Tamandua tetradactyla: one gene and its partner. The protein of the gene in region 2 purifies or fractionates together with the protein of the main gene of each other region. This does not show direct contact. Links are inferred from orthologs where the notes say so. Each region holds a gene or a part of one and is shown on either strand. Other genes may lie near its edges.

Region 1 (7,833 bases), on a different chromosome or scaffold from region 2:
TGATTCCTGGCTTTGAAGATGGAGGAAGGTGCCATGAGCCAAGAAATGTAGGTGACATCTAGAAGCTGGAAAAGGCAAGGCAAGAATTATTTCCTAGAGCCTCCAGAAGGAACACCAACCACTTTAGAAAGACCTTAATTCTCATACTGTGAGACTCATTTGGAACTACTGATCTCCAGAACTGCAAGATAGTACACTTGCATTGTTTGAAGCCACTAAACATGTGTTGATTTGTTATAGGGCAATAGAAACTAATGCAATGTCCAAGACCCAGAACTACTATGTTAGAGACTCAGAATTTTGAAAACAGGAATCAGAATTTTGGAAACAATTTACTGAAGTGGTCCTTAGGGATTCTTTTCCTGGGGCCCTGGGGATGACCACAAGTTTGGAAAAGAGAAACCATGTGAAGTGGTTTGTGAAGGTCAACCTAGCAAGGGTGTAGAAATAAAAGACTTTCAGGAAGCACTGACTCACCATCTGTCCGGTGGCCTATTGCAGACTGTAGGTCTTTACTGATGCCATAAAACATTTTATTTTTAGCCATGTTTTTTTCTTTACTGGTTTCATAATTCATTATGCAAAATTTAATCATGAAGACAGAAGGTAAAAACTGTGGGTTTGATGACCTGATCTAGAATGTGCCCAGAGTATCATATTTGTTTAATGTGGTCTCTACCTTATGGGCATGTGTTAAAAATAGAACCACTTACAACCAGTTCTAACAACTAGGGATTAAAATTCTTAAAGAGAGAGAGAGAGATAGTGAGAGAGGGTGAACTGTAATTTTATTTCACATTTAGCAAATCAGAGGCAGTAATTTTATTTCACATTTAGCAAATCAGACAGATGTATGAAATGAGTTTGTAGGTCGCACTCAAAGAATGATATAGCCGTTATTAGCAGTCTTGAATAAGAAACCCCATTCTTCAGAAGATGTACAGCCTCATGGCAGCAGGACCAGGGGGGAATGATCCAGGGCTTCTCCTGGACTGAGGGGCCACCCCACCCTGCGGAAACCTGCCCTCCTGCTATTCTGCAGTGAGCTGGTCAGCAGTAAAGGAGAATAGATTTATTGTGCAGGAAGGGATGACTGTTAGGTTGGGGGACACTGAGACTCCAAGAAGAGAATACTGGAAGGTTATACAGCTCCTTATCATACATATATTTCATTTCTTCATCTAGTTAACAATTATTTAGGGCACACCCACTGTATGCTACAGGCTGGGAATACAACTCTGAACAAAACAGACCTTCTTCCAAGCTCTCGTGCAGGTAGACCCTGTACCAGAGGACGCAGATGTACCTGGAGCCTCCTTCTCACCTGCCTTCTCCTTGTCCAGAACCGGCAGGAAGCCATTTCTAAGAGGAGTGGTCCCCTGGCTATGAACTCTTCAAGGGCAGGTTGCTAGGTGCTTTCATTTTTGTACCCCCAGCATGCAGCGCACACAGTATATGGTCAATACATTTAAATTTAAGTAAATAAAGCTAATAGACCTTTAGTTCAAAGCATTAATATTTATTTCCCGCTTCTGCATATCCCAAAGTGAGCTCACACAGGTGGGTTCCTGCTTACATCTTGTGGGGAGAGAAACAGCTGAAAAATAATTTGATGAGGTGTCATGAAAAAGGCCCCAGTCCAGCCCAAAGGTAACAGAGAAATTTTCTCGGGAGAGTAAGCATAATCCCTCTGTAATGGAAACTCCTTTTTCCATGTCACAGAAAGTTGAAAGGTTAAGACGTCACCCACTCGCAAATGTTTTCAGGGTTGTTTGTTATCAGCTAGGCACCATCTGTGGATAAATGAAACCCTCTAACACGTAAACTACATTTTTGAAAAACCGAAAATGATGGACAGATAGTTTCTGTAAATATGTGCTTTGTCCTGCTAACTAAGAGGAAATAGGACAGAAATCCAACCACTTTCTTTTGTGTTAATGGGCTTCTCTTCCCCTGTTCCCAGGGGGGTGCTGGCTAGAGTAGGTCTCATGTAAGCAAGTCTACAGTCCCACCCAGTCGATTTTTAAAATCATTTACTAAAATCTGTGTTTACTTTTCAGATCTCCCCAGTGGAGTTGTGGCAGAGCCTGATTCCGACCCTGCAGCCCGTCTCCCCCAGGGGTTTTGACACCCCAGGGAGCTGATCCCTGAGGCTGGAGCAGCTGAGGTTTTGCTGCAGAAATCATCATCCCACGTGTTCAGGGAAAATGCAAATCCCTGCCTCCTTCACTGCCCGCAGAGACCACCCGGAAGCCACCAGCAAGGACAGAAGCTGCTGATGAAGAGGGCAGAGAGGGTCCTTTTTCAAACAGGCAGAATGAACTTCTCAGCTGAGAGATGACATCCTTCCCTCAGGCAAACTTAACCCATGGTGGGAAACAAGGAGCTGGTTTCTAGGTATTGTTTTCCTGAGTCTCCCGCATCTGGAGATAAAGAATTATCAACTGCCCCATTGTGGTAAAAATGGATGTGGAGTTTGACGACAAACACCAAAAGTGCTTTAAATGTTGATACCTGGGATTCCCTCTGGACTTTGTACCCTGCAGTGATCATACATGTGGGCAAAGATTCACAATGATGCTTTTTTCTTGGAAACATTGTTTATCATGGTGAAAACTTGGAAAAACCTAAATACAAGGGGTGGGGGAAGGGAATGGTTAAATAAATTACAGCAAATCTACCTAATGGGATTATGCCTTAATTTAAAATGATCACTGTGAATGTACCTAACAATAGCGGAAGAGGCTTCTTGATAAGATGTTAAGTAAAAGTAGAAGGATAAAACAATGTCAGCCCCAACCCTTCAGGATGGCAGCGCAAGAAGCTTTGGGGATCCACCCTTCTGAAATACTTTGAACCAACAGCAAGAACTGGCAGAAACATATTTCTCAAAGCTCCAGAAAACAGATAAAGGATTGCAGTCAGGGGGCCAGGGCCAAGTCAGGAGAAAGGCTCCTTATAAGCGGTAGAAACTTCTTGGTGCCCTGGTTGGTCCCTTTCCCACCCTTACCGTGGTGGAGCCAGCCTGCACCCCCAGTGTTGGTCCCTGGCCCCAGTTCCAGAGGGAGCAGATTTACGTTGTATGCATGTTTCCACAATTAGAAAAGAAAGAGAAACTAAAAAGAGTGACAATTAAGTGCAATGCATTGGATGGGATCTAAGAATGGAGGAGAAAAGACTCAAAAGGACATTAGTGGGATATAGGAACTATATCAATGTTAAATTTCTTGAACTTGAAAACTGTACTGAAAGTGATCACATAAGTGAATATCCTTGTTTGTAGAAGATGTGCATGGAAATAATATGTGTTCAAAGAGTATGATGTGTACAACTTACTCTCAAATGTTCAGAAAATAGATAAAGATAAATAGGTGATAGATGGGTGGGTAGATAAAGAATGATACTTCAAAGGTGGCAAAAGATTAAAATGGGTGGATCTGGGTGTTGGGGGCAGTGTATTAAAGTTCTCTGTATTGAGTTTGTATTATTTTTGCAATTATCCTGTAAGTGTGAAATTATTTCAAAATAAAAAGTAAAAATAAAAGTCTACCAAGTTGTGAGTTTACTGCAAACAAAGAGTCTACCACCTGCATATGAATAAGCCTGAATGGGGGGAGAGGGCAAAGTTATCCCTCTTTTAGCATTTGGGTTAGCTTTTTTCTATTATCTGAACTTTAAGTACAAGTATTAAATTGTTCTTATATTTAATGAATCTTCTGAAAGAAGACTATAGATCTCTTTTTTTCGATGTGCACGTTACTGGAGAATTAAAGGTGTTTAATATTCTGCCTGCACTATATATTAAAATGTAGATTAAGCAGCTTTAAGACAGGATAAACTTATGAAGCATGTAATAACATGGATGGACCTAGAGAATATTATGCTGAGTGAGTCTAGCCAAAAACTAAAAGACAAATACTGTATGGTCCCACTGATGTGAACCGACATTCGAGAATAAACTTGGAATATGTCATTGGTAACAGAGTCCAGCAGGAGTTAGAAACAGGGTAAGATAATGGGTAATTGGAGCTGAAGGGATACAGACTGTGCAACAGGACTAGATACAAAAACTCAAAAATGGACAGCACAATAATACCTAATTGTAAAGTAATCATGTTAAAACACTGAATGAAGCTGCATCTGAGCTATAGGTTTTTTTTTTTACTATTATTATTATTACTTTTATTCTTTTCTCTATATTAACATTCTATATCTTTTTCTGTTGTGTTGCTAGTTCTTCTAAACCGATGCAAATGTACTAAGAAACGATGATCATGCATCTATGTGATGATGTTAAGAATTACTGATTGCATATGTAGAATGGTATGATTTCTAAATGCTGGGTTAATTTCTTTTTTTCCGTTAATTAATAAAAAAAATGTAGATTAAGCTTTGTACATATGTTTAAAAAGATATGTAAAAATGTATTTGTAAAAGTCTGCCTAAATCAAATGCCTGCTAAGAATTTTTCAAAGTGCATCACTTTTTTTCTTCCTTACCAGAAAATTAATTGCCAGGAAACCTCTTCAACTTCACATTTAGGACGCAGGTTATTGCTCCCCCAATTCGCTGAGGGGTTCCAGGACGCCCCGGTGTGCTCTGCAGCACTAAGGGGAAGGCACTGCCTCCCTCAGTCTCCCCCAGTCCCACCCGAGGAGCGAAGTGGGGTCTTCCCGGTAGTGCCCTGCCCAGCTCAGCGTCCTAGCCAGAGGAGCGCCCGCTGGCGGAGGTCGGCGAACTGCGGCGGCGGCGGCAGCGGCTGCCTGGGTGGGGCGGGGCCGTGGGCGTGTCCGGTCTGTTCCTGCGAGTTCGGAGCCCATGGGAGCCTCCGCGAGCCTGGCCCGTGTGCGGCAGGGGCTGTGCGCCGCTCATCCGGCCCCCCACACCCCGAGAGCCAAAGCCCGCGTGGCCATGACCCAGGTAAGCAGAGGGTGCTGGTTGGGGGGGGGGGGGGGGCGTGTGCAGGAGGCGCCATGCTGGGAGGAGCCCACCCCTCTTCCCGGGTGCTGCTTCCCCGGGTGCTGCTTTCACGTGGCGCTCAATGGAACCGTCCCTAGACTGAGACGCGTCTCCCATGCTGGCGCTGGCAGAGTTTTCCAGGCTGAAAAGTTTTGTTTGGCTGCTGGGGGTTTGCCTTCAGCACGGGTCCCAAACCGGGATGGGTCGCTGACGGTCCCGCAGCCGGCCTTGCTGTGGTCGGCTTTGGCCAGCTAAGTCAGAGACCCGTGCCCTCTCGGTGCCCCGGGGGATGGCAGTCAGCTTCGCAGGGAAGAGCGCTGTGTCTGCGCCCATTTGCCATCCTCAACAGGCAGACCCCACAGGTCATGGGTTAGAGGGGAGAAGGTCCTTGTAAAGTTTTCTGTCTTCTGGGATGTGAGGGGGGAGGGTATGGGCTTTGGACCCCAGCAGGTACCCGGTCTCCGGTCTGGGAACCTCACTTTTCTTAGTTGTAATCCGTGATTAAAAAAATTTTGATTTTGGGATATGCCTCTTTCAATCCCAGTGACCACTTGTTCCTCCACAGCGTTTGCAAATAAATTCGGGGCCATCTCGTTCTCAGTGGCTTCTTTTTACAGAAATCTGCTCCTCCATTAGGCTCTGAACACTTCTCTGGTGTATTAAAACACTGCCTGCGTTTCTCTAAATGCGTTCAGCACCAGTTATTTATGAAGGCAGGAAAGGCAGATTTTATTAAATCCTTAACCACCCTACCACTTCCCAGCCCAAACTTGTCCTCAGCCCCCAACTTTATTTATAAACAGTACCTTCAAGAGAGAGAGTGTTGGCTTCTAAGCAACTAGCCCACATTCAAATGTTACTTCTTTGCTGAATAGCTCAGTAGCCTTGGGCAAGTTGCTTAACTTCTCCGAAGCAGCTTGCTTACCTGCAAACTGACAGGCATGCCTTTAGGGGAAGGATCAACAAAGTCTGGTAGATCAAAGAGCTCAGCACAATTCTTGGTGTTTTAGCTCCCTCCTCTGCAAAAGCTGGGAGCCTTTTAGGTAATCTCAAAATGTGCGTATCTGAGTTTACCCAAAATAACTGTCCCTCTGTTAAACCATGGAGGAAAGTCATCCGTGAACTGTAACAAGACTTGACTGTGGAATACTGTCCATTCCTCTTTCAGCCAGTCCAGTGGGGGCTCTGTCTATGGCACCAGGGAGATGAAAATGAATATAGCTTCTGTTATCACGGTCTTCGGGCTGGAAGAGGCACAGAAGATTAAAAACCAACTGGAACACCAGTCTATAAATGCAATAATATAACAGCTGGTCCTTCCCTAATACTCCCTCTGTGAAGTGTTAAATACTTACAAATACTGGCTCACTTAATTATTACATCCCTAGAAGGAATGGCACATTATTCACCCCATATGATCGATAAGAAGAGTAAGGCACAGAGCCCTTCCGAATTTACACAGTCACTAAGAGACAGAGAAATACACACCCAGGCATGCATGCCCGAAGTTCATGCACATAACCATCCGTACTAAATGGATTTCACTATCTCAGTGAGCAAAGCCAGAGGAGGCAGGCTTAAATCTGTCTGGTAACCTGCAGTTGCAGGAGGAAGTGTAGGATTTTGGTGGACAGGGAAGCCAGGAAAGGCATTCTGAGTACACAGCGTGAGCAAAGGTCCAGGGAGTAAGAAGTTTGAAAGCCAAATGCCAAACTGAGAAACAGATCTGGAGAGGAGAGGCAGGAAATGGAAATGGAGGTTTCCTAAGTCTGACTTGCTTTAAGATGGGAAAAGTAAAACTCTGGCACTGGGGAGAATGTGTTTCTGGGAAGCCAGTTCTCCCTTGCACCAGAGACCCTAATGAAATATTCAATTTGCGGTTGTGGGCGCCCAAACTTCCAGCTCCCAAATTCTCCCCGTTGGTTTTACAGGAAAGCCAACCACTTGCCAACAATTCCCTTTTCTTTGTACTTATCACAGAATTCATGGGCTTTGATTAGGATACATAAATATTTACTAGTTTTAGTTTGATGTGACTTGGTGGTTGAAATCATAGAAGTTCAGCAAGTCAGAGGATATTGGAGTCCAGAGAGGGAACACAACTTTTTCATAGTCACACAGAAAATTAGTGGCAAAGACAAGGTGCACCAGAGGCAGAACTGCTTCAGGCATCTCCCAAGAAGTAGTTTGGATCCTGAGAGCAGAGGAAGCCTTAAAAATATTCACGTAACTTCTGTTCCATCCTGTTGGACTAGTAGAAGGTTCTCACAGTCAGCAGATCTTGCAGACAAGAATAGTTTGACCAAATGAACTTCTGAATTTCTCCATTCCACACTTGCCTTTCAGTGTTAGAACTCTGCATAACAAATTCATTGAGCCATAGGTTTTGAGTCTCAAGCAAGGACTCAGCACTTTGCATTTCTTGTCCACAACAGTCCTATGCAATAGGCATTTTCATCATGATTTTCGTGAGGGAATCATAGTTGTGAAAAGTTAAGTAACTTGCCCAAGTTCATCCAGAATGTAAGTGGCTGAGTTGAGATTTGAACACAGGCCTGGGTGATTCTGAAACCCAGGCTGTGTTGAGGCCCGTTTGTGTCTCATAAAGGAGAGCATCCATTCATTCTTGCTAACGACTATGCGTGGTTCCTGAGGAGCAGCCCACCACAGTGTGGGTGGGTTTGTAGGACTCCCTCCATCCACATAGCTTCCAGATGTGCAGATTCTCATGCTTTCTCATGACTTTGCTTCACCACATCAAGTGGCATGGTGTGGGTACCCAGGGACCCATTTCCCTCCCTGGGCTAATGGGCATTTTCCATTTCACTGAGAATTTTGCATTCGGTTGAAGGCAGAGCCTCCTAAACTGTCTGT
Region 2 (6,828 bases):
CCACACTTTCCACTGCTTGTACCTCTCACTCTCAACCCCAAGGGTCAGTGAGACCTGCAGTAGGGAAATGGGATTCACACCAGGCCTGGGTGATGCCAAAGCTGGGGACTTGTTCCCAGCACAGCTTTTTCCACCTTCCACAATCTCCTTCTGGAGAGGGCTTGATTCTCCAAGGAAATAGGCAGGAGCTCCCTGGTGAAGCCAGTGATCACAAGGCCTAAGAACAGCTACCCCAGCGGGAGGGCTGGCCTCCGAGGGGTCCCGTTTCCCCTGGGTCCCACCCCCACTGAAAGTGAGCAGAGATGGACCAGCGCCCTTTCCCAGCGAGCTCAGCAGCTCAGCCCCAGCACCTGCTCTGCAGGAAATAGAAAGGGACTTTGCAGAAAATCTGCCTTTAATCTTGGCTTCCTGTTTTCTGCCCCAGGGGACCGCCCAGAAGGTCTGAGTTTCAAACTATTTCACACCAGCTTCTCTAAACTGTCATCTTGGCGCAGTGAGGCTGGGGGAGGGGAAGAAGCAGGGTGGAGGAAGGAGGGGCCCTTCCCGTCCCCAGGGACTCAGACCCAGTCCAGCCATTAAATGCTTCAGCTCTGGACTTCTGGAGAGCCACCCAACTTTGCATAGAGCTGTCAGTCGACTCTCCTTTGTTCCAGCCACTTCTCGTCTCCCCTCTACTTCCACCAGAGCCCGCGCCTAACATCGCTGGCCTGGGCCAGGGTAACAGCGGTATTGGACGTCCTAACTGGCCTCTTCATTCTCTCCACCCTTCACTCTTAAGCCCCTCCCCCTTACTCCCCAACAACCAGAGAGGCCTTCTAAAACACATTTCAGATCATGCCACTCCCGGGCTTAAAATCCTTCTACAAGATTCGATGCAAACTCATGTAATAAAATCCCAGGCCCATAATGCCCTACAGGATCAGGCACTTGATTCTGGCCTTCCCTGCTTCCTCTCAGGCCACTCTCCCCTGCTTGCTGGTCTCACCACTTTGGCCTTCTGGATGTCCCCTGGCCGCAGAGCCCTTTTCAGCCTGGGTCTAAAACCTCCCGGTGCCCTAGGCTTGGAACATCTTCCCCCATTCCTCCAAGGTCTGGCTCCACCTTCTCCTCTGGGTCTCAAAGTGGAGAACCATCTCTCCATCCTGTCAAGCCCATCACGTGCTCAATTCCTTCATACCACTGTCTAATTACTGTTTATTTATTTACCCCCTTAGGCAAGAATCGGGGTGGTAGTAGTCATTCCTTCATCTTGAGCATCCAGAACAGGACCGAGCACTTAGTAGGTACTCACTAAGGATTTGCTGAATGAATGAATGAATGAGGAGGTTGGAGGTGACTTGTCTGGCACTCCCCCTAAAGGATAGCTCTATGGGCTGGAGCCTGTGACTGATCTGTTCAGGGTTTTAGCCCCAGTCCCTGGGGTGCAGAGAGGTTAAAAATCTTCCATCGACTCCTGTTGTGAGGTGGAGGCAGGATTCAAATGCAGGTCTATTTGACTCCAAAGTTCACAATCGGCGCATGCAGGAAAAGGGTCAAGTGTTTTGGGGGATGAAGGGGGTGGAGACAGGTTGGTGATGAAGCTCCTCAGGGATTGGAATATTTTTCTCCAAATCCTGACAGTCCCTTCTTTCCCATCCTGCCAACAGATTAGGCAGGGGGAGGGGAAGGAGATGTCAACCCCTCCATTCCAGAAGTCTCTGCTGAGCAGCTGAGGGCAGAGAGGCAGCCACCCCACCCCACCTCCATCCGGCCCCACCTTATCATTCCATCTAGATCTCCGGAGGAAAGAAAGGGAAATCAGCCCTGCTGAGCACCCTCCCCACGCACCCCTCGCCCACCCCCAGGCTCCTGTCTTGCTGAATCTGCACCACTTCCCTTGAGAAAGGTGTATTCTGAGCCTGGTTTTATAGAAGAGGAAACAGCTCAGAGACCTCAGGCAACTAACACGGCTAGTAAATGGACAAGCTGAGAGTTAACCCTGAGATTTGAACTTAAAACTCATGCTTTTTTTCCATTACACCACAGATATTTTTTTAGACTTCCTGGATATCTCCCCAAAGGGTAAGCATGTTACTGCTGTTTCTCTCCCCCAAAGGTCTGGCCCCTTGCTAGGAAGCTGACCCAGGGGCTTATTGGGTCAGAGGGACAACCTGTGGTTTCTCTGGGGTGGGGTGGGGGACATTCAACTCCTGCTCCTGGTATTCAAGACCCTTTGCAATCTGCAGCCACCATGTCTCCCCAGCACTATCTCCCACAGGGCCCTTCCCTGTCCCTTTTACTCCCTTGGCCCCTCCATATTTATTTTGGGTTCCAAAACTTTGCCAACATGCCTCACGTTCCCCACCAGGGAAGGCACCCTCCTCTCTGCCCACACAAGCCTGATGCTTCTGAACTCCTTCCTTTGACACTGGTATATTCAGTTTCCTCCACCACAGCCCCAACCCCCAACCCCAGCTCACACTGTCTGGTGGTCCTGTAGCTCAGAGCAGATCACTTTCCGCAAAGATATATATCAGCCAATACTTAATTAAGGACTCAACGTGTACCAGCCACTGCACACTAAGCACTTTAAATTTATTAACTCATTTCCTCCCTAAAAATCTTAAGATATTAGTGCTATGATTCTCCCCATTTTAACAAATGTGAACACTGAAGTACAGAGAAGTTAAGTAAATGACCCAAGGTCACACAGCTTTTAACAACTTCCTCATTGCCATAAGGCTGGAAATAAAGTCCAAGGAAGTCCCACAAGGCTCTTCGTGATTGCTCTTGCCCATGCTGCTTGCAGGGACCTCATCTCCTACCACTCTCACCTCACCACACCCCAAGCTGCTTGCTCTTTATAGTTCCCAGAAGTTTTCTCCTTTCTCACCTCTCCCTTGTCTTCCCCCATGCTGTTCCCTTTGCCTGGTGTCCCAGCTCTGTGAAGTCTCCCCATCAACCCTCCCTTCTTTTCTGCTTCCTGTGGACCTTGTACATCACCTCTCTACTTTTATCAATTATTTCTTTGCGATTTTCTTTTAACCTGTCAGTCTTCCCACCAGACTGAGATCTCCTAGAGAGCAATGAGTGAATGAATGAATGAACGCTCACTGCGGCCAGTGAGGCCCACCCCCTACAGACTGGAGGAGAGGCCCGGCCTCCATCGCTTCTACTTTGGGAAAGCTGACAAGAGAGCGCTCAGAGCTTGTTTCAAGGTGGGGTGGTCGACCCTCTGAGGGGGACCCTCAGGAGCCTCCAACACAGACAGGCCGGTGGGGGCAGGGCGTGGGCGCGGACACACCCCCCCCGCAGTGCCGCCGGCGCCCGGCAGGGGGCGTCGCCTCGCCGGCCCACGCCCCGCCGCACGCCGGGCAGGCCCCCTCGCGCAGGCGCGCTGCCGCGGGCGGAGGATCCGGGCCGCGCTTCCTCTCGCCAGGCCTGCGAGCTTCCTCCCAGCGGAGCCTCGGGCGAGCCGAGGTTGGCCGCCGCCGCCGCCGCCGAGACCGCCGCCGCCCTCCCGCTCCCGCCCCACCCCGTGCCCTGTCCCGGGGGGTCCTGCCGGGGTGGGGTCCGAGCGGGGAGACCGCCTGTCCCCACCGCCGTCGAGGCTGTACCCCGGCCAGCCGCCCCTCCCGCCCTAGGCAGCCTGTGGCCGCCGGAGCCTCCGGGACGTGGAGCGCGGGGAGCCCCCGCGGCCCCCGATAGAGCGTCAGGGGCGGCCCCTGGCAGCGGACGCGACCATCCGAAGTCGAGCTTGGGTAGCGGCGTTCGGAAGCGAAACTCTGCGGGGGCCGCGCCGGCTACATTGTTTCCTCCCCCCTACTCCCTCCCACCCCCCCTTCCCCCGTCTTTCTTCCCTCCCCGACCCGGCCGCGCAGCCTGCCCCCTGCCTCGGTCTGGCCGCCCTGCCTCCCCCCTCTCTCCGTCCCCGGACCTCTTGGCACGCACCCCCGAGGACCCCTGCGCCCCCCCTCCCCCCGGCCGCATGGACTGTCCCGCAGGCCGCTGATGCCGCCCGCGGCGAGTTGGTTCGGACCGCAGCGCCGGGAGAGAGGTGAGTGCCCGGCGGCCCGGGAGGAGGCGGGGTGTGAGTGTCCACCGAGGGAGGACGGTGGAGGTCGCACGTCCCGCTTCCGTGGCTGCCTCCGTCGCGTCCACTCCCATCCCCCATCTCCCTTATCCCCTCCTTCCCAGCTTCAAATTCTCCCGGGAGTCCCTGTCAGAACTGGACCGGGAGGGGAGCACGCGGGGAGAGCCACTGCCCTGCGAGCCACACAGACTTGGCCCAGGCCTACCCGAGTTCCCCCCCTTGTGGAGCTGGGGGGATGGGGGTGGGGGCGGTGGCTGGAGCCTGGTGCCAGGGTGGGCCAGGACCCTGATGTTGGACTCCATGGGAATTTGCTCTTCCATGGCCAGGTCCTCCCTGCAGGTGTCCTGGCCTGCATGGGTCTGACCCCTTCCCCACTCCCCACCGAGGCCTTGCTAGCTTCTGGCAGCCCAGGGCCCAGCCACTTCCCTTGAACCTTATCATAGGCCCAGGTCCTGGGTTGGAGCCTTTGACCCTCTGCCTCCCAGAAGACCAGGCCTGAGCTGAGAGACCTCTGACCCTTGGGCAGGGAAACTGGGCAGGGCCTCCATCCTGGGTGCAGGCGACACTGGACATTAGCACTGTGCCCTCACCTCCATGCAGCTTGGTCAGCCCATTCTCCCAGGTTCCCAGGGCCCAGGCCAGCTGTCAGGAATGGGCGTGTCCAGCCTCTGTATCCTTGGAATTTAACTAAGGGTTTACTTCCCCACCCATTTTATAGACCAAGGAAACGAGGCCCAAAGGGGGAAGTCACTACCCCCAGACCTTTGGCAGAGTTAGGATACCATCCTTTCATACCCCATCTCTGCAGAGCTGGGCTGCCATGGATGGAGGGGAGTCTGGAAGGCACCATCACCCACTAGGGACTAAGGTGGCCTAGGAGGGATGGTGCGGGGTGAGCACGTGCTCCTCTACAGAGGACTAGAGAGGAGGGTGAGGGCTTCCGGCCCCAGCTCCTCTGGTCTGTACTCAGCGTCAGCACTGTCTGTGGGATTTCCCCTTGGTGGCTGAGGCTAGGTCCCACTGGTAGGAGATGTGGTAGGTGTGAGGTGCGAACTGTGTGGTGTGTCAAGGATGCTGGAGTCCTGGACCCTGACTCTGAGCTGGAACAACTTGGTGGTCAGTAGTGTTCCAGCCCTCCTGCCCTCCCCACCTCCCCGGCCCCCCAGCACGGAAACAGCCAAGTTCAGAACAGGGATGGGCTCAGGATCAGGAAAATGGGAGCCCTGATACCACTGGTAGCTCCCTACACCCTTTGCATGGTCCATTGTCAGAATGGGAACACCCACAGGGCCTATTGCAAAACTCCGCACCCTGGGTGTCCCACTGTCTTAGCATGTCCACAGTAGGAACAGGGCAAAGGCAGCAAGTGTGAGGTTGGAAGTATGGCAGATTCATCTTTATCCTAGGAGGGGGTGGTCCCTGGAGGGTGCTGAGCAGTGCCTGGGCTTCCTTGGTTGGGGTTGCTGGCAGTTTTGTCTAACTCGAGGCCCCTGCCCTTGGTTTAGGGTTCTCTCCCTGCTGCTCCATCAGGGACATTAGAGGGGACCCAGCTGTCCTGGGCCCCAGCCCTAACTTCCTCACCAGCCTGTGGATGGGACCTGGCATGGTTAGATGCTTTTTATGAACCGTGGGCTGTGAGGATGAGGCGTGGAGTCCCAAGGCCATTGTAGAAGGTACTAGTGTGTGTGCAGTTTTCATTTGGGAAACTTGGTACCTTCCTCCCCCTCTGAAGGGGCTTTTCTTCTCTCTACATCAAATGGAAAGCATGAAAGGACCAGAAGATGTTCCCAGGGGACTCTGGGCCTAGAGAGCTTGAGCCTCAAGTGGGAGTGTCCCATGGCAAGGGTTGGAGAGAGGACACACCGAATGAGCACAGGTGTGACATGACTGCCCCCAAAAAGTCTCTGGGTGGTTTATTAGGGAATGTGGCCTAGTTGGGCAGGACAGCGTGTGTCTAGTTCTGGGCTCCATCTTTTGAGGTATTTTGGAGGATTGAGACCCAGTTCCCAAAGAACAGGAGTATTTGGTCTGGGAAAGAGAAGGTAAGGAGAGATTATTGGCTCTCCTCCTTGTGTGTCTGAGAAACTACTGTGTCCTGTAGTCAAGCAGTTGCCCTGTAGTGGAAAATGCTGGGGTCGTCTGCAGATGCCAGGATCTGAGCTGGGGGCAGGCCGGCTGCTACCTGAGTACTAATTTCTTAACTTTGAAAGTAACAAAACAGCACTACAGAAAATCTAGAAAGGAAAACAAAAATCACCCACTATTCCTTTACCTGACACAGTCATTATTAGCATTTTGGAGTTTCCTGCCAGCTTTTCCTGATTTCTTTTCTTACTGTTGCCGTTCGAATGTACAAGCCATGATGCCTTTTTTCATTTACTACTGGGGCCATAGGCATTTTCTCACATTCTGCACAGGCTAAGTAACTTTCCTCCTAAAAAGCTACAGAATATTCCAAATAGCTCTGCCAGAGCAACTTCACCCAAGCCCTGTTACTGAGCTTATGCATTGTTTCCCATTTATTAGTGGGGTGGTGTGGAGAGAATGCCTCCAGCAGGCTTTCTGGATGTGTGGTGGAGCTATTTGAGCTGTTTGAGCTGTTTGAGCCCTGGACCGAGTTGGCTAACTGCTTACCGGGCAGGGCTGAGGATGGCCCCTGCCCCAAGGTCCTCTGAACTGAGGTTCTGGGCTCCTATGACCAGTGCCTTGCCCCGCCTCCTGCCTTCCCCCTTCTTCATCACCATGTGATTGACCTG

What was found.
Region 1: the proteins of CSK (region 2) and TNS3 purify together in Homo sapiens (affinity purification with mass spectrometry; 4 studies listed by BioGRID and IntAct, with this or other methods). This does not show direct contact. The link is inferred for Tamandua tetradactyla from reciprocal best matches to the Homo sapiens genes CSK and TNS3.

Annotation. Positions count from the first base shown.
Region 1 is NC_135327.1:69,656,373-69,664,205, reverse strand, and holds the start of TNS3 (tensin-3), read left to right. Parts: upstream 1-4,813; 5' UTR 4,814-4,818; coding exon 4,819-4,920; intron 4,921-7,833. UniProt on the Homo sapiens protein: May act as a protein phosphatase and/or a lipid phosphatase. Involved in the dissociation of the integrin-tensin-actin complex. EGF activates TNS4 and down-regulates TNS3 which results in capping the tail of ITGB1.
Region 2 is NC_135338.1:67,191,941-67,198,768, reverse strand, and holds the start of CSK (tyrosine-protein kinase CSK), read left to right. Parts: upstream 1-3,825; 5' UTR 3,826-4,036; intron 4,037-6,828. UniProt on the Homo sapiens protein: Non-receptor tyrosine-protein kinase that plays an important role in the regulation of cell growth, differentiation, migration and immune response.